7 linked regions of the Macaca fascicularis genome follow. The protein of the gene in region 3 interacts with the protein of the main gene of each other region in a pairwise test. Links are inferred from orthologs where the notes say so. Each region holds a gene or a part of one and is shown on either strand. Other genes may lie near its edges.

What was found.
Region 1: the proteins of ATXN1 (region 3) and RAPGEF4 interact in binary tests that used the Homo sapiens proteins (3 or more experiments, as listed by UniProt). The link is inferred for Macaca fascicularis from reciprocal best matches to the Homo sapiens genes ATXN1 and RAPGEF4.
Region 2: the proteins of ATXN1 (region 3) and VSNL1 interact in binary tests that used the Homo sapiens proteins (3 or more experiments, as listed by UniProt). The link is inferred for Macaca fascicularis from reciprocal best matches to the Homo sapiens genes ATXN1 and VSNL1.
Region 4: the proteins of ATXN1 (region 3) and RCN1 interact in binary tests that used the Homo sapiens proteins (3 or more experiments, as listed by UniProt). The link is inferred for Macaca fascicularis from reciprocal best matches to the Homo sapiens genes ATXN1 and RCN1.
Region 5: the proteins of ATXN1 (region 3) and PIAS1 interact in binary tests that used the Homo sapiens proteins (3 or more experiments, as listed by UniProt). The link is inferred for Macaca fascicularis from reciprocal best matches to the Homo sapiens genes ATXN1 and PIAS1.
Region 6: the proteins of ATXN1 (region 3) and eukaryotic translation initiation factor 1A, Y-chromosomal interact in binary tests that used the Homo sapiens proteins (3 or more experiments, as listed by UniProt). The link is inferred for Macaca fascicularis from reciprocal best matches to the Homo sapiens genes ATXN1 and EIF1AY.
Region 7: the proteins of ATXN1 (region 3) and VSTM2L interact in binary tests that used the Homo sapiens proteins (3 or more experiments, as listed by UniProt). The link is inferred for Macaca fascicularis from reciprocal best matches to the Homo sapiens genes ATXN1 and VSTM2L.

The regions. Positions count from the first base shown.
Region 1 is NC_088386.1:68,273,987-68,278,600, reverse strand, and holds the start of RAPGEF4 (rap guanine nucleotide exchange factor 4), read right to left. Parts: upstream 2,987-4,614; 5' UTR 2,829-2,986; coding exon 2,764-2,828; intron 2,686-2,763; coding exon of another isoform or gene 2,415-2,685; exon of another isoform or gene 2,389-2,414; intron 1-2,388. Other genes in the region: uncharacterized protein, read left to right, coding at 2,415-2,685, 3,349-3,514, 4,394-4,522.
Region 2 is NC_088387.1:104,615,091-104,618,987, forward strand, and holds part of VSNL1 (visinin-like protein 1), read right to left. Parts: intron 1,161-3,897; coding exon 945-1,160; intron 1-944.
Region 3 is NC_088378.1:156,606,638-156,610,534, reverse strand, and holds part of ATXN1 (ataxin 1), read right to left. Parts: intron 3,778-3,897; coding exon 3,247-3,777; 3' UTR 1-3,246. UniProt on the Homo sapiens protein: Chromatin-binding factor that repress Notch signaling in the absence of Notch intracellular domain by acting as a CBF1 corepressor. Binds to the HEY promoter and might assist, along with NCOR2, RBPJ-mediated repression. Binds RNA in vitro.
Region 4 is NC_088388.1:33,483,572-33,488,218, forward strand, and holds the start of RCN1 (reticulocalbin-1), read right to left. Parts: upstream 2,995-4,647; 5' UTR 2,929-2,994; coding exon 2,675-2,928; intron 1-2,674. UniProt on the Homo sapiens protein: May regulate calcium-dependent activities in the endoplasmic reticulum lumen or post-ER compartment.
Region 5 is NC_088381.1:44,795,755-44,800,180, reverse strand, and holds the start of PIAS1 (E3 SUMO-protein ligase PIAS1), read right to left. Parts: upstream 3,012-4,426; 5' UTR 3,000-3,011; coding exon 2,976-2,999; exon of another isoform or gene 2,088-2,975; coding exon of another isoform or gene 2,082-2,087; intron 1-2,081. UniProt on the Homo sapiens protein: Functions as an E3-type small ubiquitin-like modifier (SUMO) ligase, stabilizing the interaction between UBE2I and the substrate, and as a SUMO-tethering factor. Catalyzes sumoylation of various proteins, such as CEBPB, MRE11, MTA1, PTK2 and PML.
Region 6 is NC_132903.1:7,975,320-7,979,216, reverse strand, and holds part of eukaryotic translation initiation factor 1A, Y-chromosomal, read right to left. Parts: intron 3,454-3,897; coding exon 3,350-3,453; intron 1,643-3,349; coding exon 1,592-1,642; intron 1-1,591. UniProt on the Homo sapiens protein: Component of the 43S pre-initiation complex (43S PIC), which binds to the mRNA cap-proximal region, scans mRNA 5'-untranslated region, and locates the initiation codon. This protein enhances formation of the cap-proximal complex.
Region 7 is NC_088384.1:94,018,741-94,023,113, reverse strand, and holds the start of VSTM2L (V-set and transmembrane domain-containing protein 2-like protein), read right to left. Parts: upstream 2,948-4,373; 5' UTR 2,725-2,947; coding exon 2,604-2,724; intron 1-2,603.

The sequences.
Region 1 (4,614 bases), on a different chromosome or scaffold from region 3:
TTTTCACCATCCACAACAGTTGTCACTTGAATGAGGCATATATTTGAACTACGTTTCCCAGTTACATCCTTTTCCCAGTTAAAAGGTCCCAGTATCATATTCCCAAGTGAACCCACAGGGGTTCATTGTACTATTCTTTCTTTTTTGTGCAGGGTTGACAATGTCCATTATAAAAAAGTTTTTATAAAAATAGAGCATACATTCCTATATTCTAGATTTGGTCACAACAGGAATTTGTAGTTGGGAAGAAATTAGCATATTCATATGCCACACCACTGCCTGGCATGCCCTTCCTATTCTCTGCCTGGTAAAATTTCTCTCAGCCTCTGAGATCTACGCAGGACACCTATGGAAGCATCTCGATAACTCACTCATCTGCATTCCCCAAGCACTTTATACATCTCCATTAAAGCACTTACCACTGCATTGTGGTTAGCTGTTTATACAGCCGTCCCACCACCAATCTCCCCTACCCTCCAAGCCTATAAGCAACTCTCATATTTTGTTGCATCCCCAGTGCCCAGCACAGTGCCTGGAAAAGAGTATCAAGATAGCATTTCTCAGAAACGTTCAGGGCACTGTCTCCACTAAACAGGGCTTTCAGGGGGCTTCCCTAGACAACTTCCATAAACACTCTCAATTTTTCTCCTTTCCTAAAAAATAAATAAATAAATAAACAATCTAAGAGAAAAACACACCTTCAAAACAAGGCCCCCACAGCCTTCATACAATGAGATTGCTGCCCTAAACTGTTCCTCACAGGTATCAATTCTGGCATGAACACTGCAGAACATGCAAAGTTCTCTTAATACCACAAAATAAAAAGCCTACATGGCACCTCACAGTTTTCAAAGTATTTCACCTTTTTTTCTTCTTCCATTTGTCCACTTATCCCTGATAGTCCTATCCTCATTTTTCAGACACTCAAGGAAGTAAAAGTGACATGTCCAATAACAGAACTGGTAACAGCTGTGTTCCTAAAACCCTTAACTTATTGATCTGTCCACTCATCTGACTCTTCTGATGCTAGACTCAGTATCTGTGAAGGGTTTTTTTTTTTTCCTAGTTTTTTTTTTCCATTATGAATGGTGGCATTATGTGAGGGCATCATGCTCTAAAAAATCCATTTCAAGCAAAATCATTTGGGCAGATACACATTATGAAAAGAGAGAGTCGACTATGTCCCACTTGTGTTAGTATTGCTCTATGATTTTGCCATAAGTACTTCTTATTGACTAATGGGTTTCCAGTGAATTAACGACTGTTCAAAAAATGCCATGCCATGCATTTATACACATAGAAATATGTCATCTATTATCTAAACATTCCATTCATAAGGAAGCACCACTATTTATAGGTTAAGTGCAAGATCTTGAATCCCATACAATTCCTTTTTCCTGAACTATTAAATTTAGATACTTGACACATTAACAACCTCTATCCTTCAAACGCTCTTAGTTCTACATAATCCTGTATGATTTAACCATTACTTTAATTCTCTTACTATTTATTGCATGCAACTATTTCTAATATTAGTACATATCATTTTAGACATAAATAGGGCACTGCCTGCCAAAAAATCTTGCTACTGTATGGTAATTGAAAGTCAAGACTATCAGATATATTAAGTTATTCAAATGAGCTACATTTAGCTTTTCTCAAATTACTTAATATTTTTCAACAAAGGCCTATAATAGAGTATGCAAAGCATGTCACACTTAAGATTTTCAAGTTTGATCGTGTTACGAATCTGTTAATTGAAAATTTTTCAATATGGCAGAACACAAAATATTTCACACAAATGCAAATAGAGATGTCATGCAGATAGCTGCAAGACGTGAATCATTGCCCTTCTGCATTAAACTCCGAAATTCAGAGGCAGTTCACTCTGCAAGATTTCTTGCTCAGTTCTTAAAAGTTCAGATGCATCACCTTTTAATCAGGGTAATAAGCTATAATTGCTAACATACTGTGTAATGTTTACTGCTAAACCTGCAATCTGGACAAACAGAATATTATGCTGTCAGAGCCTGGAAACAACTGCAATCCACTGTTAACATACACATCCTCCTTAGAGAGAGCTGTCGTCGGGAGTTATATGCTTTATGTACGGTTTTAATTTTTTTTTTTTTTTTTTTTTTTTTTTTTTTTTTTTTTTAGCGTAAAGGTCTTTTCCCGAGAAGCAGGTATTAAGACGAAAGCAGCCTCCCAAATGACCTTCTCTAACACAGACCTTGAGCGAGCGACTGCGGGGGCAGAAAGCTGTGAATTTCAGCAAGGGACTCGACAGCTCCACTGGGTCCCTCACACTTTGATTTCGAGAACAAAAAAAAGAATGTTACTCTGTACCTGCCGGTGCCCCCACCCCTCCTTAAAACTTAATACCCCGCAAGGTCTGAATAGCCAGAGAGGGTATGCATCGATTCTTCCGTCCCGTGATGCCAAGAGAAAATAAACCCCCACCCAGGAGCGGAGCCTGGAGTCGCGGCGGGGCGGGGGGTTGGAGAGGTGGGTGCTCTCTCCCCTTACTGCGCTGCATTTTCTCCACCACGTGTAATAATCTCATGCCACTGGTACCCCACGAGAGGCGGGGGTCCTTGTCCTCCTGTCTCCCGGGCGAGGACCTCAACCCCTTCCCCCGCTCGGGGACCCCGGCCACCCGCAGCCCGGCCGCGCTGCGCCCAGGTGTGAGGCTGCGGCGGTCTCTGGGCCCGGGCAGCGCCGCAGAGCTCGGCCCCCAGCTGCGGCCCCCGGCCGAGCTACCTTTTATCCAGGCAGGCGATCCACTCGGCGGAGGAGGAAGAATGGGCAGCGTGCGCAGCGACCATGTTGAGCGGCGGCGCGCGGTGTCCCCGGCTGCTGCGACCTCCCGCGCTCGAGCTGCCTGCGCCTCCGCCCCCGCCTCGCCCGCCGCGCGGACCCCGCTCCTCCCGGCCGCCTGGCGACCAGCGCGGCTGCGACGGGCCCGCCCTCCCCGCGGGCTCCCGCGGCCTGGGGCGGGGGGGCGAGGGAGGCGACCTGGGGGGCGGGACGCGGGCGCGGGGAGGGCCAAGCCGCCCGCCCGCCGCTGCGCTGCGGCGCCCGGGGGTGGGGATTTCACCCCGGGGTGGGGACCCCGCGGTCCCGCCCGCTGGGGGGCACTGGGGCTAGCGACCCTAGTGGCTGGCCACCTGCGACAGGTGGCCGCTGCGTCCCTCGGAGACTGGGGCCCCACCCTCATCCCGGGGCCTCTGAGGCGGGGCGGGAGGGCAGGCGCCGCAGCGCGAGTGGGGAGGGGGATGCCAGTGTCTATATATTTTTTATACAGCAAATGCCACTAAAATGGCTGCTGCCTCTCTGTTTCCTTAGAAACCGATGAGTCTTCCTCAGCAGCTGCCGAAACTTGCGGCGGTTGCTTGCTCACCTTTGCTGCCTCCCCTTCAGAAAGGGCTGGAGGGGAGGGCGAGGAAGGCTTGGCGTGGGGCCGCCCGTCGAGTCTCTCAGTGAGGAATGAGAGGCCAGCTTCTCCCGCGGGGTGAGGAAGGGCTGGGCGCAATGGGGGGCAGTGCGGGCAGGGCTGGGGGCAGGGAGGGAGGGGGCTGGTGGGCCCGATGCGGACTAAGGGGGTGACAGGCTGAAGTCACTGGCCTTGAACCCTGGGCTTTCCTGGGCTTCCATCACCTGCATGGTGAAGAAAACACAGTTGAGAATGGTGAGTAGCCGGGCCACAGCAGAACTGAGGTTTTAGGATGCGGGCTGAGACCCCAGAGCGCTCAGGTGAACTTGGATGGCTGGCCCCACTTGCTGTTCTTCCTCTGGCTGGAGTGTTGAATGGGTGGTGATAACGGCCTGTCTCTTGTAGATGTTCACACAAATGTCATGTCTACAAGTTGTTCAGTTACACTCTGCCAAGAACCAAATTACATGCCAATGGTCGTTTAGGAATTTGGGGACAAGTTAAATCTTTTGGACTATTACCAAGCATTGTTTTGATATTTATGGCACTGCATTTGGGGGCCAGACAATGGGAGAAAGGGACATAGCATTGCTTTCTTGTACTGTTCCCCCTCCCCCCGCCCCCACCTCCCATCCAACCCTGCTAAGGGGAGAGTCAAGGGGACTGGAGAGAAGGAAAGAGCAAGTGCTCTCTGGGATGCTTTGATTCTAATAAAACAATTATTACCATGATAGAAAAGCCTCCAAAGATGTGCCATTTCCCTCTGCTCGATAGCCAGGATCTGGTTTCAGACCTGCCACAGTGTTCCCGCAGCAACTCTTCCCTCCCTGCTCAGGGCTTTTCCCCCAGTTAACCTTCATTCTGTTAATTTCTATCATGTTTATGGTAATATTTAAAATACTATACTATATAAAGGTTAACCAAAGGTATTTATGTTGCAGCTTTTTTACTATACAGGTATGAAGGAGGAACTGTATCTCCTATATATATTAAGTTTCATTTATTAAAACATCAGAGAGCACCTGAGAATGTTTCAAGGTCACCAAAAGCTTTCCGAAAATGGCTTTCTGCAAAGAAGATTTCCAAGTAAGGAGCTAGAGGAGAAAGGAGCTGCACATCACGTATTATCACACAGGCTTGGAGTTGCCATAGCTTTGGTTATGATACTAATAATAGTT
Region 2 (3,897 bases), on a different chromosome or scaffold from region 3:
GGAGCACCTGGGTCTACCTTCAGCAAGTGGTAAATTTCTCTCCTTGGTCAGAGTGGCTGGTGCAGGGGTGGGAATCCATGCTAAGACAGTCAATCAAAGGAAAGCTACTGAATCATGCATCTGCTCTTGCATGCCTGCCAGGCTCCAGGCTGGGTCTGGGTGCTGGGCATGCAGCCGTGAGGGCAGAGCCTCCTCACAGAGCTTGCATTCTGCCGTATATTCCACTGAACAAGGTAATCTGGGGCAGGGACAAACGTTGGGACAAAACCCCTCTTGGTAAGGGTTAGATTGCTTTGGTGTGGAGGTGGAGTGGGCATATTTGGGAAGGGATGTGGGAAGGAAGGCCTCTGTGGGAGGTGGGATAGGACCGGAGATGGAAGTGAAGTGAGGGAGGAGCCCCCAAAGGCCAGGGGAGGACATGCTGGGCAGAGAGAGAGGAAAACCAAGAAGACCTTCACATTGGGAGTGCAGTATGCAGGGGCTGGCGTGGCAGAGGAATCCTGGGTTACTCACAAACACAATGGGCAAAGCCTGCTTGCTGTGGAATGATCAGAACCTGGAAGGATGTCCCGGGAGCCCCTGACAGCCTCGGAACCCCACTAGGTGCAGCTGGAGTGAGGCAGAGCAGAGATATGCCAAACACAAGAGAAGCTGAGCCCATGACATCCTTTGTGCCCAGTAAGACAGGTTCACAGGAGATCCGGTAGTGAGTGAATGGCAGATGACAATGCCACTGTCATGACAGTACGGGCCCCAAGGCTTGGTTCTGGGACCTCCCCAGCACTGTGCTGCAGTGGGAACAGAAGCGGGAGAAGTCCAGGCGTGGTGTGCAGCTGGCAGGGCTCAAGCAGAGAGAGAAGGAACCACGAAGGCCCTGCACCTAGGAGGCTGCCGTGGGGTCTCCTTCTGTGCCCACCACCCGCCAACCACGCCCCAGGCCTCACCTCGATGATCTCCAGCATCTCCACTCGGGTGATCTTGCCATCACCATCCAGGTCATACATATTGAAGGCCCAGTTCAGCTTCTGCTCAAAGCTGCCCCTGGAGGTGATGGACAGAGCGCAGATGAACTCTCGGAAGTCGATGGTGCCATCGCCATTCTTGTCGAAGGTTCGGAAGGCATGCTGGGCAAACTTGGAGGCGTCTCCATAAGGGAAGAACTGCAAAGGAGAACACATGCAGTCAGGTGTTGGGAGGGGACGGAATTGGGGCGACGAGGTAGGTTCCTAATGACAGCACCACAGGTGCTCCAGGGCGTTGTTAGAGCCTCACCCATTGGAGAGCGGTTTGGCCTGACTGTCAAGGGCAGGCATTAGGGGAGGCTTTCTCACAGCAGGTACTCAGGTATAGGCACCTCATTGTTTCCTGTGGGTGAGGTTGGTGACATGTGGCTTTCAGTCGATGGGGCTTGGAGTTGGTCAACAAGCACCACCTGACGCTAGTGTTGCAGCATCTCTGCTCACTGCCCCCAGGAACAAGACTGAGGCAGACAGCAGTTTCTCTCCCCACACAGGCGGTGCTACACGAACTTCCATGTTCCTTTAGATATGAGAATCCAGCTTCATTGCTGCCCAGTAGGGCCAGAGGGAGGGTGCCTGGACCTAGTTTCTCCTGCCACCAGCCCTCGTCTTGGGCCCACACTTATCCCCTCCCTGGGTGAGGTTCCAGTTTCTGACTTCTTTTTGCAGGGATTTTTCTTTTGCAGAACAGACATTTAAAACCCATTAAAAATAGAACATGACTGGGCTTATTTTCGAGAGACATAAAGAGGTTTCTTCACAGAGCCAACTGTCACCAGGGGTGTGTGGGAGGCAGAGAATGGACACAAGGAGGAAAGGGAAGCAGAGACCACAAGGAGGGAAGGCCATAGGGAATCAGTAGGTGGTGGCCTCAGTTCCCTTGGACATAAGCCTAGGCCAGTCACAAACAGCAGGTAGTACTGATAATTAACAAGGAAGAACTGCAAAGCCCCAAATACAACCAAAAACAAACCGTGTGCTATTTTAAAGCAGAGAAGTTATGTATGTGTTTCTGGATGAAAAACTCTGGGTTCTGGGCTCTACAGACAAGCACTACAAGGTCAATAGAAGATTACTGAGGATGCTCATTGATATCCCTATTCCTTCATAAGTTTTGCCACCTGCTAAGTGGACCAGGTGAGCAGCCTTCATACAGATGGCCTCTTAGCCCACTCTGGGCTATCCGCCTCAAGGAGCCCTTGGTCCATCTTTCTCACTGTGCATCCCACCCTGGGTCCTGCAGAGCCCTGCTGCCCACTCCTCCTGCACCTAGAAGCACATTGGAAGGTAGAAAATTTCCCTCCAGACATAAGACATACTTTAACAGAGAAGGATTCTATACATGGGGCCCACGGAACAGCCAAGCATCCCAGGAGGAAGAAAGTACCCATTGCTTATATTTCGGTAGTACCCACTGCTAGGCAAAATGACCTGTTCCAGAGACTGTTACTCTGTAACAAATCACCCCAAAAGCTAGTGGCTTAAAATGACAACAATCATTTTATTATCTCACAAAATAAACATTTGAGACCCATTTCTTTTTTTCATCAAACATATCTTTTCCTGGTTACAAAGGACAATGTTCTCTTAGGTTCCCTCATCCCCTAAACATATCTTTCATTTCTGTTATCCTTCATTTTTCATTATTCATCAAAATTCACTGAGTTCTTTTTCATGTCGGGCCCCGTCTTGGGTACTATGGTCTCAGAGGGCAGTACCTCAAGGTCTCTGTGTTCCGAGACTGCACAGTTAATGGGGGCACTTTACTCAAAACTGACTTGGTCATGTTACTTGATAAGAACTAGAACAGAGGAGAAGGCAAAGTATTACTAAAGCTCAGAAAATGAGTGTTCATTTCAAGGAGGGAGTTGTAGAGGGAAGGGCTTTCCTTCTTTGAACAGCTCAGCATGACCCCAGCCCCTCACCCCCAGTGCTACTTAGGTGCTTGGTACCTGAGGACAGGCTGCCAGGTGCTGAGTTTTGAACTAAACAATGTTGAACCTGAAAACTTCCAAATAGGCAAGTTTGCTCCTCCTGTGCCTTATGCATGAGTGGTCCTGGTCCCTTTCTAGAGGGTGCCATTTGCTGATGTGTTCATCTGCCTCGCGATTAGGGGCCTGGGTGGAGCTGGCACCTGTGAATCTGACTTGGAGTGGAGCAGAGCGAGCCCCTGGGCAGGATCCCAAGTCCCCTTAGTGCTGTTTACCCGCCAGCATTTCTATGTGCAGTTGGCATGAGACCAGTGGGCACGAAACCTCCATTCATGTAGGTTGCTGGCAATGTAATGCTTTAACTATCTTATGTCTCACAGCCTACTTTAAAGTTAAGGGATATTTCACAGTTTTATCTAAAAATAGCCGGGCATCTTAGGTCAGTATATTAAAAATTAATTTAGGTCTAAAAAACCTTGAGAGAAAAATCAATGGTAAATTTTGAGCTATAAAAGTTACATATGCCTTGCAGAAGGTCTGTATACTGACTTTTACAGCCAACATGTTTACTTTAGAACTGTGTACTCAAGAGCCCTCAAATTTCTGGAGGGGTTATTTCCTTTAGGAAATCTATCCTATCATGTTCTGAGTGCTTTGAGTTTTTCTAACTAGGAAAATGCTCCTTATTTTGACAAAATAATTCAACTCTAGATGGATCCTCACAGAGAAACGAAGCCGCATTCTCTTCAATTTCTGTAGGAAGAAGTCAGGGTCTTGAACTCAGATTTACTTTTCTCGGAGGACAACAGGGCCTGAAAAGCACAGTATTTTTCTTTTTTTGCATACTCTTGCTCAATTTCTTTTTAACTCAATGTATTTTGCTTGAACTCTAGTATTAAATTTTGACATGGAAGTAATATTTGATGGCAGTAATAATCTATAAATAA
Region 3 (3,897 bases):
TCCCGTCCAGGCTCAGAGGCGGGGGCTCCAAGTCTCAAGGACACAGACCCCAAGGAGGGGCCTGCCCACTCGCAGAAAAGACCGTGGAAAATGGGTTAACTCCAGGCTACATGGCTCCAGAGTGCGTCTTAGAAATGAATCTGCCTCCTTCCTCTCCACACTCCACATTCACTATTCCGTGTGGTGACAGGGGACACTGCGGCTCCTCCCCCAGGTCTCCTTGGCTGGCTCTTTCTGCAACGTGGCGGCAGACGCGGGGCTCCTGAAGGCTCCCCGCCCCAGCACTCAGCATCCGCAGCCGGGGAAAGGTGGGAAGCTCTCTCCCTCCTGGCTCCTTCCCTCCAGCCCTGCTCTGGCCAGAATGGGAAAGACCAACCAAATAAGGAAAAAGCCAAAAAGGAATGAGCTTTAACTATATAGCACACTGGTCAGACTCTATTGGCACAGAAAGTATTGCACATGCTAAAAAAGCAAGAGAATGAAATGGGACAAGTGTTTAGAAAGAACCAATTATTTTATAATTCCTATACCTGAAATAGAACCACAAAAATTATGATGATGTTCCTATTGCTCCAAACCACGTGTGTTTTCCCATCTTAGTGTTGGTTTAGTGGATCCAGTCAGTTCAATACTCGAAGTAAGCCAAAAGGTGGTGTGTGTTTTTCTGAGTCCACATGAGTTGTAAATAGTGATACTAATGAGAACAAAGTCTATGTGGCAGCCCGTATTCCTCTTACCATCAAAGGTTAAAAAACAAAAAGAAAAAACAAAACCTAATAATTGCAAGTGCCCTGAGCAGAATATATGGAAGATTAAGCAAGTTCTCTGAACAGAAACGTTTAAAAAATACAGCACTAAATAAGCAGTATGACTGCAAGAATGAACCCACCCAGCTCTCTGCAAGCATGCTGAGAGGGTAATGAAATTCGAGGAAAGTCAAGAAACTATTCTAGCTATTCTAAACCTATTCAAATGTTTTTGGTACACCCCAGAAAATGGTTTACAAAAATCATTAGTCCTGGTGAGCCTTAAATGTAAATGAATACTAGACAGCCAAAATGTGGGTTGATACCAGATTTTTTTTTTTTTAATTTGTGAAATGAAGGAAGTACTATTTTCAATGGGGTAAAAGAAAAATCAGGTATTTGTTTAGGTTAGTTGCAGCCATCCAAGTAAGAATATTTAAAAATTTCTCCCTACTTATAAAACTGTTTTTTTAAAGCACTTTAAAGATGCATTCAAAACCCACAAATGATATTTCAGATCTCTGGGAATGAAAGGTTTAAAAACTATGAAATACCCTTTCTGGGTTTGTACCAAACATTAAATCTTGATTTGATTTTGAATAGAAAAAAAAAAAGTCATTCTGAAAATAACATTAATAACAACAATAATAAAATAATTGTTTAAAACAAAATCTTGCTCACATATATAAATGTCTTTATGGAAAACTCTCTCAATGAATCTGAAGAAAATTCTCAGAGTTTCTAAGAGCCTGCTAAGACCTGGCTTTTTGTGACAGATGTGGTAAAAAGACCAAAATGAATTTTCAAAGGAACATAACCTTATAAAATGGCCTAGAGTTTAGGCAGGTTAGAAAGAAATTTTGCTACATTTATTTATGCTCGTTCAGTCCCCCAAACCTTTCCCACAATGTTATTGGATAAAAACTGCAGGAATATCACACAAATTATAAACTCAATATGTGCAAATCGCAAGGTTCTTTAAAAGTTCATCTTAAAAAGAAAAACACTGGACAAAAATGAGTATTCTCTTCTCCATCCCTTTTCTCTCAGTTTCTCTGCCAACTCTGCATATGCCTTGAACTGATTCTCAGACATCAAAGTGAAAAGTGCCTCCCGTCAGGTAGTACTTGGTGGTCATTTATTGTCACATACTAGTTCATAATTCACATTCATCCCTTTAAACCACATTGAAACTTTCAATATCTTGCTCTTCAGCAATTCTGCAGAGCTGAAATGTAGTTACAGTGTTGAAAAAAAGAAAGCAACTTAGTTTTTTTTGTTTTTTTGTTTTTTGTTTTTCCCCAAAGAGTTTAAAGTGAGATACAGTACTTGTTGAATGAGAGACCAAGATGCTTGGTAATAAAGTGTGAACAGTATTTTTAAATGCTTAAAGATAGTAATATATGCTCATCTTCAAAATCTAATTCCTCATGTCACACTGGAATCTGAAAAAAAAAAAAAGTGGCACCCGAGTTGTCCATAGTCATGAACTATAAACAGTACTAGAGTTCAAAGACAAAAAGATTTTGCAAACTCAACGTGAAGAGCTTCTGTGGCTCTCACTGAAGGGCAGTTTGCATCTACCTCTTGGGAGTGAAGTCAATGCAATAACCTGATTGGTTTACCTAACACTGCACAGAAACCAGCGTGGGTGTTCGCTCTCTCCCCCGCCCCCACCCCCAACCCCCCTTACCCCATGTGGGGCCATGACAGCAGGGGCTTCCCTGTCCACCACAACACCCCGGTGACATCGCTGCACTAGTAAAAAGCAGAAATGAAATCCCGCATGTGGCAGTTGCTCTTTAAAAAAAAAAATATATCAGTGCAGTCAGGCCCCATAGGGGGAAATATATATCTATACAATTAAAAGTTGCTTTTATTGTAAAACAGGTTGGAGAGAAAAATGTTCTTTTAAATGGTTAACTTTCCAAATCTGCCGTCTGACGCGCCTCCGCGATGCCCTGAAGCTGGGTTCCTGATGTTGATTTTGCACATGGGAACCCCAGGAGGACACTGCTCTGAACACCCCGTCCCATGCCGATAGCAAGAGAGTGAGGCAGAGGGAGGCAGAGAAAAAGAGACCCTCACTCGCCGCCACAGCACCTGTGCACCCCCACATGCATGCACCCCTGCACCCCTGCAGGACCCTTCCCACGGGACTTTTCTCCTGACACTAGCGGGAGTCAGCGCCCCTGGCTGCTTCTGGGCCGCTACAGAAAGCAGGCGCTGTGGAGCCCGGTTCCTTTCTTCCCCGGGGATGCGTGGAGCCCTGACCGCTCCTGCTGTGCCCTTCCTCCCGCCCGCTCACTGACAGACACTCGTGGAAAAAGCATATGCACCAGTCTCCTGCGACACACCTGCTGTAACTCTAATGACAAGGTTAGAACAGAAACCTAAAATAAGAGGATAACATGTAAATACTGTGTTATTTAGCCTACAGTACAGTAATCTGGATACAAATGATAAGGGAGAGCCACGTTTCCTTTCCCCCACGCTGCCTCTACTTGCCTACATTAGACCGGCCTTCAATGCAAATCTTAACCTCCTGAGGAATTAGAGAAGGCTTAGGAAGAGTCAAAGGTGGTTCGTCTTCTGACTTCTCCAGTTTGCGGCTCTCCGGCGCCGACCACCTCCTCTTCCTCGTGGCCGCGGGCTTGCTGGGTTCTATTTTGGTGAGGAAGGGCGCTGCAGGCAATCCCATTTTCTCTGGAAACTTCAGTTCGCCATTCTCAGAGAGCATCTGGGCACTCCCCTGGTTGATTCCGTTTTCCTGCTCGGCATACCTGTGTCTGCTGCCCGCCAGGCCGTCGGCCTTTGAGTGCTTCAGCAGGACGCTGGCGGGATCCACGGGCTGGCCCTTTTTAACAGAGCCGTTCTTCAGGTTCTTGAGGGTAAGCGAGATGCACACATCCCCAACTGAGAGTTTGGAACACGGCAAATCAAAGAGCTGGCTGGTTCTCTCCGGACAGCAGGATGACCAGCCCTGTCCAAACACAAAAAAAGGATACTCTACCAAAACTTCAACGCTGACCTGTGGAAACAGGGAGAGACAGAGAGAGGAAGGGGACAAATGAAAACATTTTATTCTTGTTTGATTTTATGCGCACACACACGTATGAACTCACACATACACACATAGACACACACAGGC
Region 4 (4,647 bases), on a different chromosome or scaffold from region 3:
AAACAAGCTGTGGACAGAGGGGCAGCTTCTCACACACAGCCCCATCCCAAACTGGACCCATAATTTCCAGCACCTCCTACCCCGCCTCTACCCCAGATTTAACCTACAAGCGAATGGTGCATCCATCACCCATCTGGTGGCTCAGGCCAGAGACCCAGATGTCCCCTTGATTCCTACCTCCCTCCTCTCCCCCTTGCTGAGTCAAGAGCAAGAGCTGCCAGTTCTACCTCCCACTGGTGTATAGATACATCGCCTCCTGGAATCCGGAGAGACCAAGCCCCTTTGGCATTTACCCCCTCTCCCCTGCCACTGGTCTAGTCTATACCTCGATTATGTTCTTTGCGTACTGCCTCCTGCCAGCCTGACTTTCCCAGTGAATTTTGGGGATTATGACATTTTGACAACGTACAGGATAACATATCTCCATCTCACCAAGGTCCTTCCTGCTCTGTCCTTGGTTTCCCCTCCATTCCCACCTCTCATTTCCCTTCCCTGCCGCTTTGCAGACTCACCACCCCTCAGGCCCCAGAACACTTTTCAAACCCTTTAGAAATGGGCTGTTTTCTCTTCAGGAAGGCCTTCCCCTGCTGTACACCTGGCAACCTCCAAGTCATCCTACAAACTGATCAGGTGACAGCCCTAATCCCCTCTCTCTAACCTGCAGCCCTGGTGGCTCCTTCTCCTGGATGTGCTCACCATAGGTTTTATAGGCCATCATTGCAGCAATTGTGCATAATGGCTAGTTTGTGCTTCTCTCCTCCACATTTGCTTATAAGCACTTTGATGCCTAGAGCATAAGGTTTCATCTTTGTATCTTCCAGTTGTCTAAACTGGGGCCTGGTACACAGTAGCCATTCAAATGTTTGTTGCATGAATAAATGAATGAAGTCAAGGTGTTGATACAAGGATCAAATCCAGACCAACCCCACCGTCACTTGTTCTCACTACTAGGCTGAACTGTCATGATGAAGGCATTAACTGGAAGCTGTAGGACCACACCTTATAAAGTTTTCCAAATCCCAAAACCTCTCCCTGCCTCCTCTCCAGTGACAATGTGGCTACCACTCAGGGCTCCAGAATAAATCAGTCTCCAAGTGCCTCAAAGCAATACAATTGACTGAACTCATCAATGGCCCCCATTGTTAAGTCCTAACCGAGAAGAGAAAGTACTGTGCAAGATAAAAGGTAATTGTTTGGAGGTGACTTTGAAGTTCAAAGGTCTTGTTATCAGAGCAGGCAGATGGTGCACCTACACAATAGGTATAATTTATCCTCATATTCCAATGAAACACTTTGGCCTTTGGAGGGCCCCAGCACAGGGATGGCTGTGTTCTCTTTCATGTGGCAGAACGTGAAGATCCTCCACCCCCAGGAATCAGGTTCAGGGAGATCTGAGACCTGGTGCCCAGTGGACAGGACTGCTGGTTTCTTCCCCAGCCCTGCCTCCATCTGGGACCAGGCTGCCTGCTGGGTCCTCTGAGCAAGGACCAGCAGATATCTCCACACAATGCCCAAGTGTCTCCTCAGGGGGACCCGGGGAGGGTGTACTGAAATGTGCCAAAGTTTTGTTTCCCGGGTTTGGTTCCTGACTCAACTGCCTTTAACAGCCCGAGTGAAAATCCTCCACCACCAAGAGCACCCTCCAGCTTTTTGCCCCCAACAAATCAGTTGCCAAAGAACTGAGTGCTTATGCAGACATCTGCTGCCAACAGAAACGTTTCAGGCCACCCGTTTCCATTCCTGCTCCTTCGTGTTTCCAATCGGAAACTGCGTGTCCCCGGATTTTTGTATCCCTACACTAGATTTTATTTTATTTTATTTTTTATTTTTTTTGAGATGGAGTCTCACTCTAGCCTTGGCTGGAGTGCAGTGGCGCAATCTCGGTTCACTGCTACCTCCACCTCCCGGGTTCAAGCGATTCTCCTGCCTCAGCCTCCCAAGTAGCTGGGATTACAGGCGTGTGCCACGACGCCCGGCTAATTTTTGTATTTTTAGTAGAGACGGGGTTTCCCTATGTTGGTCAGGCTGGTCTCGAACCCCTGACCTCAGGTGATCCCTCCGCCTCGGCCTCTCAAAGTGCTGGGATTACAGGAGTGAGCCACCGCGCCCAGCCTCCTTACGATAGATTTACAGGGCGATTAGGCAAAAGGCAAGACCACCTGGCCGAGACTAGGAAGCAAGCCTGTCACTCGCCTGCCCCTTCATCTTTTATCCATTCATGTTCATCCCTGAGACCTTCTTAACGAGTGTCTCAAGCCCTTCTCGCCGGAAGTGGGGGATCAGAGAGAAACTGCGAGAGGGTAGGGAGGAACTCATGTCACTAACAGGCCACTGTGGACAAACTCTTCTTTTGTGCACTCTCTCCCTTCCCTTCTGATGCAACCCGGGGGAGGGGGCGGGCCCTCGCCGTCCTGGCTACCGCGGCCGCTGCCACGTTCTCGCCTCCCCGCGAGAAACCACCCAGGCCGGGGCGCGGCGGCGATCTCCACGCTGGGGTCCCGGGGCCCTCCGGCAACTCAGCCTGAGCCCCGGCGCCGAGTCGGGCAGGCCCCCGCCCTCGGGGCCGCGCGCGCGATTTCGCTTTCGCTTTGGCGGTGGTATCCCGCGTGGCTCCCGCCCAGACGGCCCCTGGACACCTGCGCCGCCCCCCGGGGGGACCTGGCCGCGGCCTCACCCCAGCCTCTCCTTGCTCTCGTCCGGGGTGAGCTGGTCGAAGGTCTTGGAGTCCTCCTTGCCCAGGAAGGCCTCGTGGTCGTACTGGAAGCTCTGGTTGTCCTCAGGGGGCCGCTCGCCCAGCTCCGAATCGGGCCGCACCACGCGCTCCTTGCGCACCGTGGGCTTGGCCCGCAGAACCCGCGGCGCCAGCACCAGCGCCAGCAGCAGTCCCAAGGCGAACCCCAGGCGGCGGCCACGGCCACCGCGCGCCATCGTCCGGAGGAGAGGGCGGCCGGGAGGGAGGCGCTGAGCAAGCGACAACAGCGGCAGCTCGGGAATGGGGGCTTGGAGCGCGGCGACGGCGGCGGGGCTGGGGCCGGGGCCGGCGCGGAGGAGGGGACGGCCCAGTCCCTCCGCCAGTGCCCGCCCTGAGCCGGAGCAGAGAGGCGCGTCGGGGCCTCGGGCTGGGAAGCTGCGGGCGGTCCCGCTCACGCGCCCATTGGTCGCTGCGCTGCCGGGGGAGGCCGGGGCCGCGGAGCCACGTCGCCAGCTGGGGTGGTGGGCGCGGGGCTAATGTTTCGCCTCGGCCCCTCCCCGCGATCTCGTTGCTAGGGGCGGGCCCGGGCGAACTGGGCTGGGGACTGGAGAGCTCGGAGGAGGACTGGGAAGAACTTCTTTGTCAAGCAACAGATGTTCAGGATAAAATTCCCTCTGACTTCCTACAGTTCCGGAAAACTGTAAGGAAGGAGGCACTGCCCCTCCTCGACTTCCAACTGACCCCTAGACCCTGCTCTAAAATGTGCTCTGAAACCCAGTTTAACCCCATTTAGCAAAATTTGGAGTCTGGTTACAAACGCGAGCCTGGAAGGAGACCAAGACGGCTAAGTCCCCTGGAAACGAGGGTCCCACTGTCAGTCGTCAAGGAGGGTCAAGCGGGAAACTTCTATATGACCGAGAGTCCCTCTAAAGGGAGCAGTACCGTGCGTTCCAGCTGCCAGGGGAACGCAGGCCCCACGCTGGTAGATAGTCCTGTTTCCCAAATGAAATCAGGATTTTAGATTTTTATGTTTTATTTCTAAATGTTGGCAACTCATTTTACAAAAGCACTAGTTGGATCCAATCTTACCTGTATTCAGGTGGTAATGCTACCAATACAGATATCTGTCCCATCAGACTCTCTGCAGTGATGGAAGTGTACTCTATCTGGTCTGTCCTGTAGGTCGTGGCTGTTGAGCACTTGATGTGTAGCTTAGTGTAAGTAAGGCACTGAAATTTTAATTTAAATCTAAACTTAAATTGCCACACCGGACTAATGGCTACCCTTTGGACAGTGCAGGTCTCCAGCAGTCTCAGCCTTTTGAAACTCATTGAAAGCCATGATCCTCTTCCAGAAAAATGCACATACAGCTACTGACACCGGTGCTTGATTAAAGAGTCGGAGGATTCATGGATCTTTTGAAGCCCCACCTATGAGCCCCAGGTTAAGAATCCCTAGAAGGCTGGGCGCGGTGGTGTCTCATGCCTGTAATTCCAGCACTTTGGAAGGCGGAGCCAGGTAGACCACCTGAGGTCAGGAGTTCGAGACCAGCCTGGCCAATATGGTGAAACCCTGTCTCTACTAAAAATACAAAAATTAGCCGGCCGAGGTGGCAGGCGCCTGCAATCCCAGCTACTCGGAGGCTGGCGCAGGAGAATCGCTTGAACCTGGGAGTGGAAGGTTGCAGTGAGCCGAGATTATGCCGTTGCACTCCAACCTGGGAAACAAGAGAGAAACTCCGTCTCCAAAAAAAAAAAAAAAAAAAGAAAAGAAAAAGAAACCCTAGAAAACTGAAACCATAGTTGAACCATGACAGCTAGATAGCTGTACTCCCAGAAATTTCCTCCATCTTGCCCTGCCTCCCACCTCCATCCCTGATGTTTTCAAAAAGATCTGGGATGTGCTTCTTGCCCTTGCAATAAAGATGTCGTTGCAGCATAGATGCAAGTCCCTTT
Region 5 (4,426 bases), on a different chromosome or scaffold from region 3:
AAAGATGACAAAATACCCTCCACATTCTTAAAATGTCATTTATGGGTATTCCCCTAATGAAAAATTAAGCCTTTCATAAACAAATGTGCATAGAGAATTCATTTTGATATGTATGATTCACAATCTAATTTTTATTGGCAATATCTTGAAGTGTTGCAGCTTGCGCAATTCCTACAGGGGATAAAGATCTATCCGTTTTTCCCATCTGATCTTTGCAGATTTCTTATAGATTTAAAAGGACTCACTAAAAAAGCCATGAGGAAAATAATTATGAATACACAGCAAAATGAAGTATGGGGCTGAAACCTAAGATAATGAAAAGTCACTGAATGTTATGCAAAGCTTCACAGTTGAAGTACTCTATTCCCATTTAAAATTTCAAAAAAACTAGATTTTCTTCTTCTTACTGATTTTTCGTATATTAGGAATGCATATTTACCTCCAAAAAATCACAAACAAAAAGCCTTCCGAAAATATCATTTCCAAAAGGAGTATCTGCCAAACCTTACTGCACAGAAAATTATATATACACATTCTTTTTTAACACATTCTCAAATAACTATGGTAGGCGTTCCTGAGATCACCTCCTCCACCCCCCAAAAAAAGAACAGCAAATCTAACCACAATAAAGTATTAACCAAATTTTTTTAATGCAGTTATCACCAGCTAAGCAATTTATCACACAGCTCCTCAAAGTCTCAGACACACACAATGACATACCAACATGTCAAAACAGTTATTATAATTTGAAAAATTATACAACAGGAACATAAAAGTAGAAAAAAAAAACTTCCTCTGGAAAAACTCAAGTAGATTTGGGAGAGAGCAAAAAACGAGACTAATTTTAGAAAAATAACATTTCTTCAAGTGTTTGGTGTTTATCTGATACTGGTTCACTTTCGTAAAGAGAAACTTTACCTAACAAGACTCACACCAGGGATCTGATCCATCCCCAAAGGCACTTTCTTAAAATGAGAAAGAACAAAGAAGGAAATCTCTCAGCATGTGCTTTCCATACTAGTTTCTTTGGACAGCATCAAGAGTGACAATATAGTCTGCACAAGCTTTTCGGCTTTATTCTATGGTCCATGTATAACAACTGATTAGCTATCATTCAAAAGAACTCCTAACAAAATAAATACTAGAAGGCAAAGATCACAGCAACATGATGACTCTATCATAAGAGAAAAATCATAGAAAACATGTCTTAAAGTTGTGTGCTTTTTTTTTATTTCAAGGGTTAACTATCTCCAAATATTCAAATTCCTAAGGCTTTCTCATTTCAGTCAATAGTTTGAAACTGGAGAAAACCCAAAACCATCCATTCTAAATCTGCTCTCCCTTAAATAAAGTTGTAATTATAAGTACATTTTAAAAGAATGACACTCAAAGCCAATACTTTAATACCTAAATCTTGGAGTGTAAACATTGTGAAGTTATTAGGAGAAAAGATCTTTCGGTGAGGATATTCCACAGGAAAAACTCTACAGAATCAAATCTGGCATTTGGTTGTTCCAGAAGTTGTCGTTTCATTATAACGGAGAAAAAAATTAAATAATTTGTATTAATTATAAAAAGAAGACTCTCTCCAAAGATTTACAATTGTATATCCCAATCTCCACTCTGACAGAGATGTCAGTTCTCTGGGTCGAGACATAACCAGCTGCTGGGTTCACACACACAGGAAGCCACAGAGAAGATCGCGTTCAGAGCCTCGAAATAATACGCGTTAGTTAAGAACTGCCTGCTACTAAACCAAAATTATTCAAACGGAGCCCCATTTGTCACAATCCAATCATAAGGGTTCCACCCCCCCTCCCCCAACTGCTTGTGTAGTGGTATATCTGCTTCGGTAAAGAAGCCATCATCAGGTAAAGATTGGGGTGGGAGAAAAGCGGGGAAAAGGGGGCACCCTTTCATCTAATTTCGTGAGGCGTGAGTAATTGGTACAGTTAAGAGGAACGTTCTATTTATCGGGGGTTAGAGTAGCATGAGGGGAGAATTTCGTTCAAATCAACATGGCCAGCAAGATGTCCCTACAAACAAAAGGCAATGGGGGGATATAAACACGAACCATTCACCTCCATCAGCTACAGCATCGCCATCATGGTGTGTGCAGAGACCCCCAAAGGCTCCTCTCACCCTCCACACCAGCCAAGGCAAGAGAAGGGAGAGAGGTAGCTACATCCCCCTCTCCCAACACTGCTTCCAAACACACACTCTTCGAGGGGGTTTCTCCCCTCGGCTGCCCGGAATCAGAGAGAGAGTAACGTCCCGCCCAGGCTGACTCTCCCCCGCTACCTCTCAGCCGAACCCCAATGCCGGCCCGGGGCTCGCTAAACTTTACCAGAGCTTCTCCCCCAGATCCCCACCCTATCGCCCCGGGATCGCGCTTCCCTCAAGCGGGGCACCCCAGGCGCTTCCTGAAAGCGAGCAGCCGGGGAGAGCCGAGTCCGGGGCGGGGGCGACAGGGATCCACGGAGGGGCGGGGCGGCCGGAGCCAAGTTCCCGGGGGTCTGAGAAGAGCGCCTGACAGGAGCCCGGGACTGCAAAGGAGGAAGAGGAAGCGGCCACGGGGAGCTTTCCCAATCCCCCCTACAAGAGCACCCTGCCCCCAGCCCCAGCTCCCCATGGGGGGCGGGGAGGCTAACTAGAAGGTGAAAAAGCCGAGCCCAGGAGACAGCTGCAGCCCCTACCTCCCGACTCCCTATCTCTTCCCCCGCCACCCCCGCCAGAGGCGCCCACAACAATAACACGCCGGGGACGACCCGTCAGCGCCCCCGAGGCACCCGGGGCCCGCGGCCCGCCGCAGGCGGGCCCCCTCTGCTGAGACCGGGCGCGCCTCTCTCCCTACAACTCCAGGCCCGGGTGGAGTCAGGCCCGAGCGGCCCCCCAGGGTCGGACCCATCCCCCCAGGCACCAGAGGCGCCGTCTCCGCGGCCGAATATTAGAAGTGAATTCGAGCTGCGCTTTACCTTTAGTTCCGCACTGTCCGCCATCTTGCGTCTGTCAGCGCAAGCGCAGTGAACCTCGCCGGGGGCCGCCGCTAGACCCGCCCCTCTAGCCGGCCTGGCCCCGCCCCGGCCCGCCCCTCCACCTTCCCAGCCCGCCTCTGGCCTCCGCCCCGCTTAGGGCGCTCGAAGCCCCGCCCCGGACACGTACAACTGCGAGACAGGCACGTTCTATTTAAATAATGGCGCCAAGCGGCGAGGTTTGACAGTTACTACCCCCTCGGCTTCCCAGCACCCCCATCCTCGCTCGGCCAGCGCCTCCCGGGAAGGGCAGGGGCGAGAGGGATGCTGGCCTGAGCCCCATCTCTCCGCGGTCCGTGGAACGCTTCTGCATAGCTTCGACGCCTACGGTCACAGAAACAATGCTGTCCTCCAACCCCTAATAAGCAAGGCTTTTTCAGCACCTGCTACTTGCGAGGCTACCAGTGGGCTAAAAATAGAAATCCGTTACATTTAAGGGGCCCTTAATGAAGCATTTGTAGCATTATTGGCTCAGATCCTCCTCTTGATAACGCGGTGAGGTAGGCAAGGAAGAGATAATTCCCAGGGTATAGATTCAGAAATGAAAGCTCAGAAAGGAAATGTGACTTGCACAAACAAGAATTTTTGCGAGGTGGCGTAAGACAAAATTTTGAAGGTGTTCATTAACATTTTTGTTTAAAAAAAATGTATTTAGTGACTATCTGTTGGCTTTGTGCTAACGGCTAAATATACATTGGGGAATCAAAGTCCCTGCCCTTCTGTAGTTCTCTAATGGGGAATCAGACAAGTGAACGAACAAAGATACAATTTCAAATGTTATTTTTTGAGTACCAGAAGGGAGCAAACGGTCCATTGAGAAAGAAGAAGGGTTTGGGAGATGTACTTAATTCTGGGAGAGTTTTATCCACTAAATTGACATTTAAGTAGACTTGATGGAAGGATTATTTCATTCTTTTTTGTCTCTACTAAAAGCCTTCTGGGCCGGGCGCGGTGGCTCAAGCCTGTAATCCCAGCACTTTGGGAGGCCAAGACGGGCGGATCACGAGGTCAGGAGATCGAGACCATCCTTGCTAACACGGTGACACCCCGTCTCTACTAAAAAATACAAAAAACTAGCCGGGCGAGGTGGCGGGCGTCTGTAGTCCCAGCTACTCGGGAGGCTGAGGCAGGAGAATGGTGTAAACCCGGGAGGTGGAGCTTGCAGCGAGCTGAGATCCGGCCACTGCACTCCAGCCTGGGAGACAGAGCGAGAGACTCCGTCTCAAAAAAAAAAAAAAAAAAAAAAAAAAAAGCCTTCTATATACCTCCTCCCCAACCCCCACTTTTTACTAATCAACTTTGTCTCATACCTCATGGAAAAAATGAAGGATATCAAATAAACTCCCTTCTCACCATCAAAACTACCCTTATCTGCATAGAACATCTGGGTTACT
Region 6 (3,897 bases), on a different chromosome or scaffold from region 3:
ACATTGGCTGAATGTTGAAAGTATTCCTCTAAATGTACAATATTCCTCTTTAAATGATTAAAATCTTGCTCATTTTAATGAAATCTTAATTGAAACATGAACTGCCCACTAAACTAACCAACTATTCAATGGCCAAAGAATTAGTTCAGAAAAGTCACCAAACAAGCAGTACCAACAACAACGCTGAGAGGTAGGAATCTGATTTCTAGAACTGCTATGTTGTAGTTAAAATGTTCAGCTTAAAAAAAAACAAAGAGAGACGTAAAAAAGTGACTCAAACACAGGGGGAAAAAAAAATACTATTCCTGAGGAATCCCAGAAGTTGGACTTGGTTTATCTGAGAGATTATAAACATATTTAAAGACTTAAAAAGAAATCCTGTCTAAAAATGTTAAGAAAATTATGAAAATGGTATTTCACTAAACAGAAAGTCAATAAAGACACTGAAGTCATGCAAAAAGTAGAAATTCTCAAGATGAAAAGTAGAGTAACTTCAATATGCCACTTACAGTAATGAAAAGAATCAGACAAAAGATCAACAGAAGACTTGAACATTATAAACCAACTACATTTAACAGATGACTACAGAAAACTTTACCTAATATTAAGAGAATAAAAATATAGACATAGGAGTACTTTTTCAATGTGGTTAAGCAATGGTGATGAGTTCCATGGATAGAAATCAAATGTATTTTACAGACCTATAGCATGTAAACAGTTTCAACACTGCAGATTAAACAGTTACCCCACCACTGTCTTTGTTATACACTGCTCACTTTAAATTTATAGCCTGTACTTTACAACAGTTTGTACCGTAACTACTTGGTACGCATATCTTAACTTTACACTACCAAACTATAAAACTTTTAAAGGAGAACCAACTTACTCAACTGCATCAACTAGACTTGTGGTTTCCCAGATGTGGATTTCAAGAACTTTAAATTTCAAAATATTAATATTAAAAATAATTTTAGGTAAATGAGTCTCCAGATTACTAAATTTTCCTTTGCCAAATTAGAACACTAATAAAAATTACTACCTTATATATTATCTTTCTCATTTAAAAAAAGGTTATTAAAATATATATTTAAAAAGTAAACAAACAATTGTGTTCCATGAAGAACATCCTAACTATGTTATCTTCTAATGTGACTTCAGAGCATTGAAATTTCAGCCTGCACCAATACTATTTCACAGACTGGCATTTGGGAACTACAATGTCTGAAATACCTCGCTGAATGCCTGAAACACCATTGGCCTTTAAATGGATTAGGACAGAATGTTCTACAGTACTTGCCCAAGCCTGCAAGAAAATATTTACTGCACATTAGCAATGAAAACAAAGAATTAAAAAATTTATGTCTTTCCACAAAAATACATATACCCTTAACTATCTGTGAGAATTATTTCAAATTTGAAAAATACTATAGTCTTAAACACAACTGGCCCTAAACAAATGATGATGGCAGGCAGAATGGTGAGAAATCATCCTGGGCTGGAACGGGTCAAAGATGCTAGTATATAGTACCTTCCAAACATTAACAACTGCTTAAATACAAAGTCACAACACAAATTTAAATGTTATTTTTACCTGATAGTCTCGTAGACCAACCAATATAATGTCTGAAGTATTTATCCAAACCTGTAAGACATTTACTGCAGATTATTTTAAAAATAAAAACTTTCATTAAATTTTTAATTTAATAAAAATCAAAAGAAAAAAATGTTTAGTGAATCTAAACATTTTTACTAAATGTACAAAACAGGTATACTATTCACCTAGTGTGAAAAAATAATAAATTAATTAGATGCCAGGAGAGGTGTCTCATGCCTATATCAGCACTCTGGGAGGCTAAGCCAGGAGGATTACTTCAGTGCAGGAGCTTGAGAACAACCTAGGCAATGTAGAGAGGCCTAGACAACACAGTGAGACCTTACCTCAAAGATTAAAAATAAATTAGGAAAAAAACACTGTAATATGTATCTGTAGTATAGTTGTATGCAGTACATAGTTAAGGTACGGCATGAAAAAACTACGGTATCCAGTTGAGTTTGTTAAAATTTTCTTACTTAGAAAGTTAAAAAAATATATAACAATTTTATCTCAATTACTCAAGAGTTTAAACTGCCAAAAGATCCTTTGTCTCAGAAATTGAGAGACATGCAATTGTCCAAAATACAGATATGTCTACATAAAATGACTAAAAAGCGCCCAATCTACATAAATACAGCCCCGTTCTTGTCTTAATGTTTGTGTTCCTCAAAAGATTTATGGTGAAATTTGAATCCCCAAGGTGATGGTACTAGGAGGTTGGACCTTTGCGAGGTGATTACATGATGGGGGCTAATCACTCAATAATGGAATCTTTGGTTTTAAAAAAGAGGTCCAAGGCAGCTTGTTCATCACTTCTACCATGTGTGGACTAAGCCAGAAGGCACCACATAATAATCAGGAAATGGGTCCTCACCAAATGTTAAATAGATTTCTCTTTCTCCAAAACTATGAGAAATAAAATTTCTGTTTTTTATAATCTACCCAGTCAATGAGCAGCCCAAATGGACTAAGAGAACCCCTAAAAGTGCCACTAATTTGGAAAAGAAAGAATGTTAACATATCAAAAAGATTTTTTATTTTTATTGCTTTCTGAGATAGAGATTCGCTCTATCACCCAGGCTGGAGTGCATTAGCACAATTTTTAGCTTATGGGAACCTTGAACTCCTGGGCTGGGCTCAAGCAATCATCCTGCCTTAGCCTCCTGAGCAGCTGGGACTACAAGTGTATGCTGGCTACTACTTCCACAGAGCTCAGCCAAAAAAAAAGTTATTATTATTTTAATTAAAAATCTGAGTAGTAGAGACTTTTAATCAGTGTAAGTTATAAAACTACCTGATGTGGTATTATAACAAATAGATTGTCTAACATATTCCATATTCCAATTTTCATAGTACCACCTAAAACTATTTCCCCCAATCCAAAACCTAATGAAGGGATATGCACCGATTAATCTCTTTTAATCTAAAGTAAAAAGGAAGATTTTTCATTCTTTCACAGCATTAACATTTAATTGAGTCAAGACCATTTGTGTTATATATTAGATTTGTCTGGTTTCTTCAATACTAAGGTAGACATTTCTGGCAGGAATACAACAGAAGTTAAACAAAGAAATTATTCTTTAAAAGTAAATCTAAAAGTTATCAAAGACTTTTTCTTTATTCACATTGTCACATGGATCATTGTTACATAAATTATTTTGGGAACTCACAAAAATAAATTGCTTGGACCATGTATTTAAAGCAGAGACTTTTTTTTACAGCAAACTTTTATGGAAAAGAAACCCACACACCTACCTTTTTTCTCAATTTCCCTCTGATATGGCATAACCTCTTTACACCATCAAAACACAGTGCTTCCAATCGTCCATTTCCCAACATTTTGATTACCTGAGCATACTCTGAGGAGAGGAGATTAAAAAAAGGTTGAGATCTTGTTCAACATTTGTTAAAATGTAATGACTAAAATTTAGCTATTGGGCCAGGTATGGTGGCTCATGGCCGAAATCCCAGCAATTTGGGAGGCCAAGGCAGGTGAATCACCCAAGGTCAGCAGTTCAAGACCAGCCTGGCCAGCATGGTGAAACCTTGTCTCTACTAAAGATAGAAAAATTAGCTGGGTGTGGTGCCAGATGCCTGTAATCCCAGCTACTCAGGAGGCTGAGGCAGGAGAATGGCTTGAACTCAGGAGGCAGAGGTTGCAGGGAGCTGAGAAAACACCACTGCACACCAGCCTGGGTGTCAAGATCAAAACTCAACAACAAAATAAATTTACCTGCCAATAAAAGCTTCATTTACTGCTAAATTGGATCAAACTACATACAAAGAAAAACAGCATAAAACAA
Region 7 (4,373 bases), on a different chromosome or scaffold from region 3:
TGCTTCCAGCCCCCACCCCCCACCCCCAGACATAGAGACACCTTCCCGACTGGGCCACATTTCCTGAATCAGCTGAGGACACACGGAGCCCAGGAATAATGAAACGATCAGGCTCCAATCTGCTAAACAGCAATTTCTGAGCTTTTTCAGCACACACAGCTTTTATCAAATTGGTATTCTCCTCCTGAACACAAATGGCTTATTAGACATGACCCACTTATTCGCCGCGTCTCACTATCATTAATAACAGTTTCTTTTTGTGATTAAGTGAGTGGTTCCAAACCCTTCCTGTGGTGGCGGGTGCTTGGCCCGGCAGAGGGGCAGCTGTGGGGGCTCCTTGGCAGTCACTACTTGGTGACTTTGAACCTAGCAATGTCGGGGGAAGGCAGCCTGGCCCCTGCAGAGCAGCCTGGCCTCCTTGTTTCTTTAGGGACACAGGGAGACCCAGAGGGGTGGCTCAGTTGCCCAGAGCCACACGAGGGGTTCAGGAGAGAAGCCAGTTTCCCCAGCAACTAGGGGTGCCTCCTTCTCATCTAGCCCCTGCCCTGGGCCTTAGCTTGACCCTCCAGGGTGCAGAGGGGAGATTACAGCTGGTTGGGCAGAGCTGTGCCCCCTCAGCTTACCTGGCACCAGGGGGCAGGTAAAGACTGTCACACAAAGGGCAGACAGACCCTGCTTCTCCATGGGGGGAGACACTTTGGGGCCTCAGGAATGACAGAGTGGCACCCAAGTCCCTGGGGTCTGGTGCTCTAGGGACAGAACGACCATAAGCCTCAGAGTCCCATTCCTTGTACCCCTTGGGACTGCAAACTCAGGGAAGCCCTTCCATGAAAACCCCTCCTACTGAAAGTTCCAACTGTGCCAAGGAACTGAACAGAGCGAGGAGAGGAGGGGTGGAGAGGGAGGAATTCCGTTTCCCTAGAATGGGAGGGAATCTGACAAGGAGATGAATGTCCTGGAAAAAAAGCGCTGTCTTGGCCCGACAGACCCTGGGGCCTGTCCTGGCTCAGTCACTCTCTTACTGTGTGACCTTGGGCAACTTCCTTCATCTCTCTGAGCCTTGGTGTCCCTATCTGTAAGTTGAGGATCAAAAGAACCCTTTCCTTATTTACCACCGCTCTAGCCAGGTCAGTAGAAATCAGGTGAGGGGTACGAAGGGTACATAAATGATGCACACAGCGGTTACTACCAAACATGGTGAGGCAGAAGGGGGTGGGGAGTCATGGTTCCCCAAAAGCAGAGACCCTGAGGATGGCTTTGAAGCCCCCCTCTCCACTGGAGAAATCCCACTCATGTGTCACACCCCAGCAAAGCCTTCCCTGATTATCTACCCCCCCACACCCCTCACTCACTCCCATCAGAATAAATCATCCAATTATCTGGCCTTTGTGCAAACCTCCCCGCAGCCCTGGGCCCACAGTGCCCAGCACTGGGGCTGCAGCCTCCCCCACAGGGCTGGGAGTCTGTCTAGTGAAGGGCTGCATGGAAGAAAGGTCTCCTTTGGTTTCATATATGCTCAAGCTCCCATCCCAGAGCCAGGCTCACAGGGGCCAGGGGGAGCCCCCACAGCTGCCAGGCTCATACAGTCCAACTCTGCTGCCAACTTGGGCTCCTTTGGGGCTAGCAGGAGCTTCTGACAGTCAGCCAGCCAGTGCAGGGAATGCTTGTCTGCTCCACGGCTCCCACAGCGGCTGGAGTTGTGACTTCCCACATTTCAGTCCTCTAGGGCCGAGGATGAGGATGGGGGGACCCTATGGAAGGATGGCAGCGGCTTCCTGCCCACCCCCAGAGGCAGACAAAAGCACCCGGCATTCCACGTCCACTCCCACTCCCACTCCCATGCCTCTGGCTGCAAGCAGCAACCTCAACTACTCCGGTGGCTCTGAGGGGCTTCCACCAGGTGCCACCCGCCCAACAGGGAGGCTGTGGCCTCAGGTGACAGTTCTCAAGAAACAGGGTCTTCTGCTCCCAAGGACCTTTCCAGTGGTATAAGGGGAGGGTGCGGAGAGGGAGAGGACAAGGGCCTCTGTGCAGTTAAACCCACGAAGAGTAAAGGCAGATGAGCGGGGAGGAGTGGGCGAGCAAATTGTGTTCATGTGTGTATGTGTGTGTCTGTGTGGGTGCGCGCGCGCACCAGTGTGTCTGCAGGTGGGCAGGCAAGAGTTGTGGCGAAGCGTGTGCGCCAGCTGGCAGAGTGAGTCCACCGGCGCAGTGCCCGATGTGCGTGCGTAGTGGGCATAAGTGTAAGGGCTTGCAGTGAGGAGGGGGACCTGAGGTGTGTGGAGATGTGCAGGGTAGGAGTTGTGAGTGTGAGAAAGCAGCGACTGTGGGTCTGAGTGTGTCCGCGGCTGTGCATATCGGTGTGGCCATAGAGGTGTGCGTATCCGCGCGAGTGTGGGGGGAGGAGGTTCGGGGGTGCGCCCCGGGTGCCCCCTCCTCCACAGGGTCGGGGTGCCAGGGCGGGTCCACTGCGCCGGCAGGGGGCGCCCCGGGATTCCCGCCACGACTGCCGCCAGTTCGAGCCCCGGGGCGGCCAAGTTGGAGTGGCGCGGCCCGGGGTGGGGTTTGGTAGGGACGCCCGCGGTGGCGGCGACCGAACTCACCGTGGCCGGAGACGTGGTTGTCCCAGGGCGCGTGGCCGGCGGGCCGCGTGGCGCCGCCGAGTTGCAGGAAAAGTGCCAGGTAGTGGAGGGCGCCCAGCGCTACGGCGAGCGGGGCCCCCATGGTGCGCGCTCGGGCCGGGGGCGCCGCCGCCTCACATCGGGGCCCCGGAGACCGCAGACCCCGCACCCGCCGTCCCCTGACCTGCGCGGCCTGGCTGCCCGGCTCCGGCAGCTGCCCCTCGCCCGCTGTCCCCGGCCCGGCCGGGCTCCCAGCCCTCGCCTGGCTCCGGCCCAGCCCCGGCTGCGGGGAGCGAGCGCACGCCCAGCCGTCCGCCTCTGACTGCGGGACTCTTCCCTTCCGCGGAAGGCCACGCCGCGCTGCCGCGGCACCCTCCTCCCTCCTCCCGCCTCCCTCCTCCGCTCCCTCCTCCCCTCCCTCCTCCCGCCCGGAGCAGGCGGCGGAGGGATCTACCGCTTGATTTATCATCAAAGTTTTGCCCAGGCTGGGATTTTTAAAGCGGTACCGGCAACTTTCCCCCGCCCGAGTGCGGGGGCGGGGCCGGGATGGGGCGGAGAGAGCCACCCCAGGGACTGGGTTCCCGCAGTTCCAGCAAAGCACGACCCAACGGGCTTCAGCCACAGAAATACCGTCCAGCAGGGAGAGGGAGAAAAGCCAGGGCACCCGCTGCCAGGCCAGCGCGCTCAGAGGCTCCTAACTTTACCGGCAGGGCGGGGCCTGGGTCTGGGGGTGAGGGCGAGGTAGGGTGGGAGCCTGGGCTGAGACACAGGGAACCTGGTGATAGCTCTGCCGCCGACCTCGGCTCGCTGTGTGATCGCGTCCAGGTGTCTACCCCTCTCTGAACCTCGAAGTCTTCATCTGAGAAATGGGGGTAATAGCTGTCTGCGGGGGTCCTGGTGAGGATTTGCGAAATCGTGCATGCAAAGCGCCTAGCATAATGCCGCTCACGTGGCAGGAGCTCAGTGGTTATTACTGTCGGTGTTCCCCTCTCTGGGACTCAGTTTTCCAGTCTTTGTAATGGGAGAGAGGCAGGCCAGTTGTTGCGGCTCCTGGCTCTTGAAGATACTGGACCTTATGTGGTGGATGGGATCGCCCCCTTCTGGACTGTAGGCTCCTTCCCTAGACCAATGAGCCTCGATGGTGTGTGTGTGCGTGTGTGCGCGCGCTTGTGCGCGCGCGTGTGCGTGGGTGTATGTGTGTGTGAGTGTGGCAGGGGAGGGGGTAGGGCACCATTCCCAAGAGCAGGAATCCAACAAGGTCCTCCAATTCCTTCCCAAACCGTGTTACTGGGGCTGATGGGACAGACCCTCGGTACAGACAGGAGGGCGGACCTGTGGTCCCATTTAAAAGATAAGAAAGCACCTGAAATCAGGTAATTAGCTTCTCTGAGGTCCCACGGCGAGCCGGGCGGGGCCCCTGACTCCCGAGCGGGGTCCCTCCTGCTCTCATCCCTTGCCCTTCCCCAGGCCTCGCTGCTCACACAGCCTGGTCCTCCCAGTTTCAGCACCATGGAGGAGGACAGCGCCGGTCCCCAGGTCCCATCCTTTGGGCACCGTGGACAGCGTTTCAACTGACCTTTTGATGCTGGGGTTCACACCGTGAACAGACCCTCAGACTTTCTCCCCCGTTCCCGCCGAACAGGGTCAACCCCTCCGACAGCCCACCACCCACTCCAGAACACAGGTGAACCCCGCGTCCAGCCCTGTGGACAGCGCCCAAGTTTGAGAATGAGGTTAGAGCCCAAGGAACAT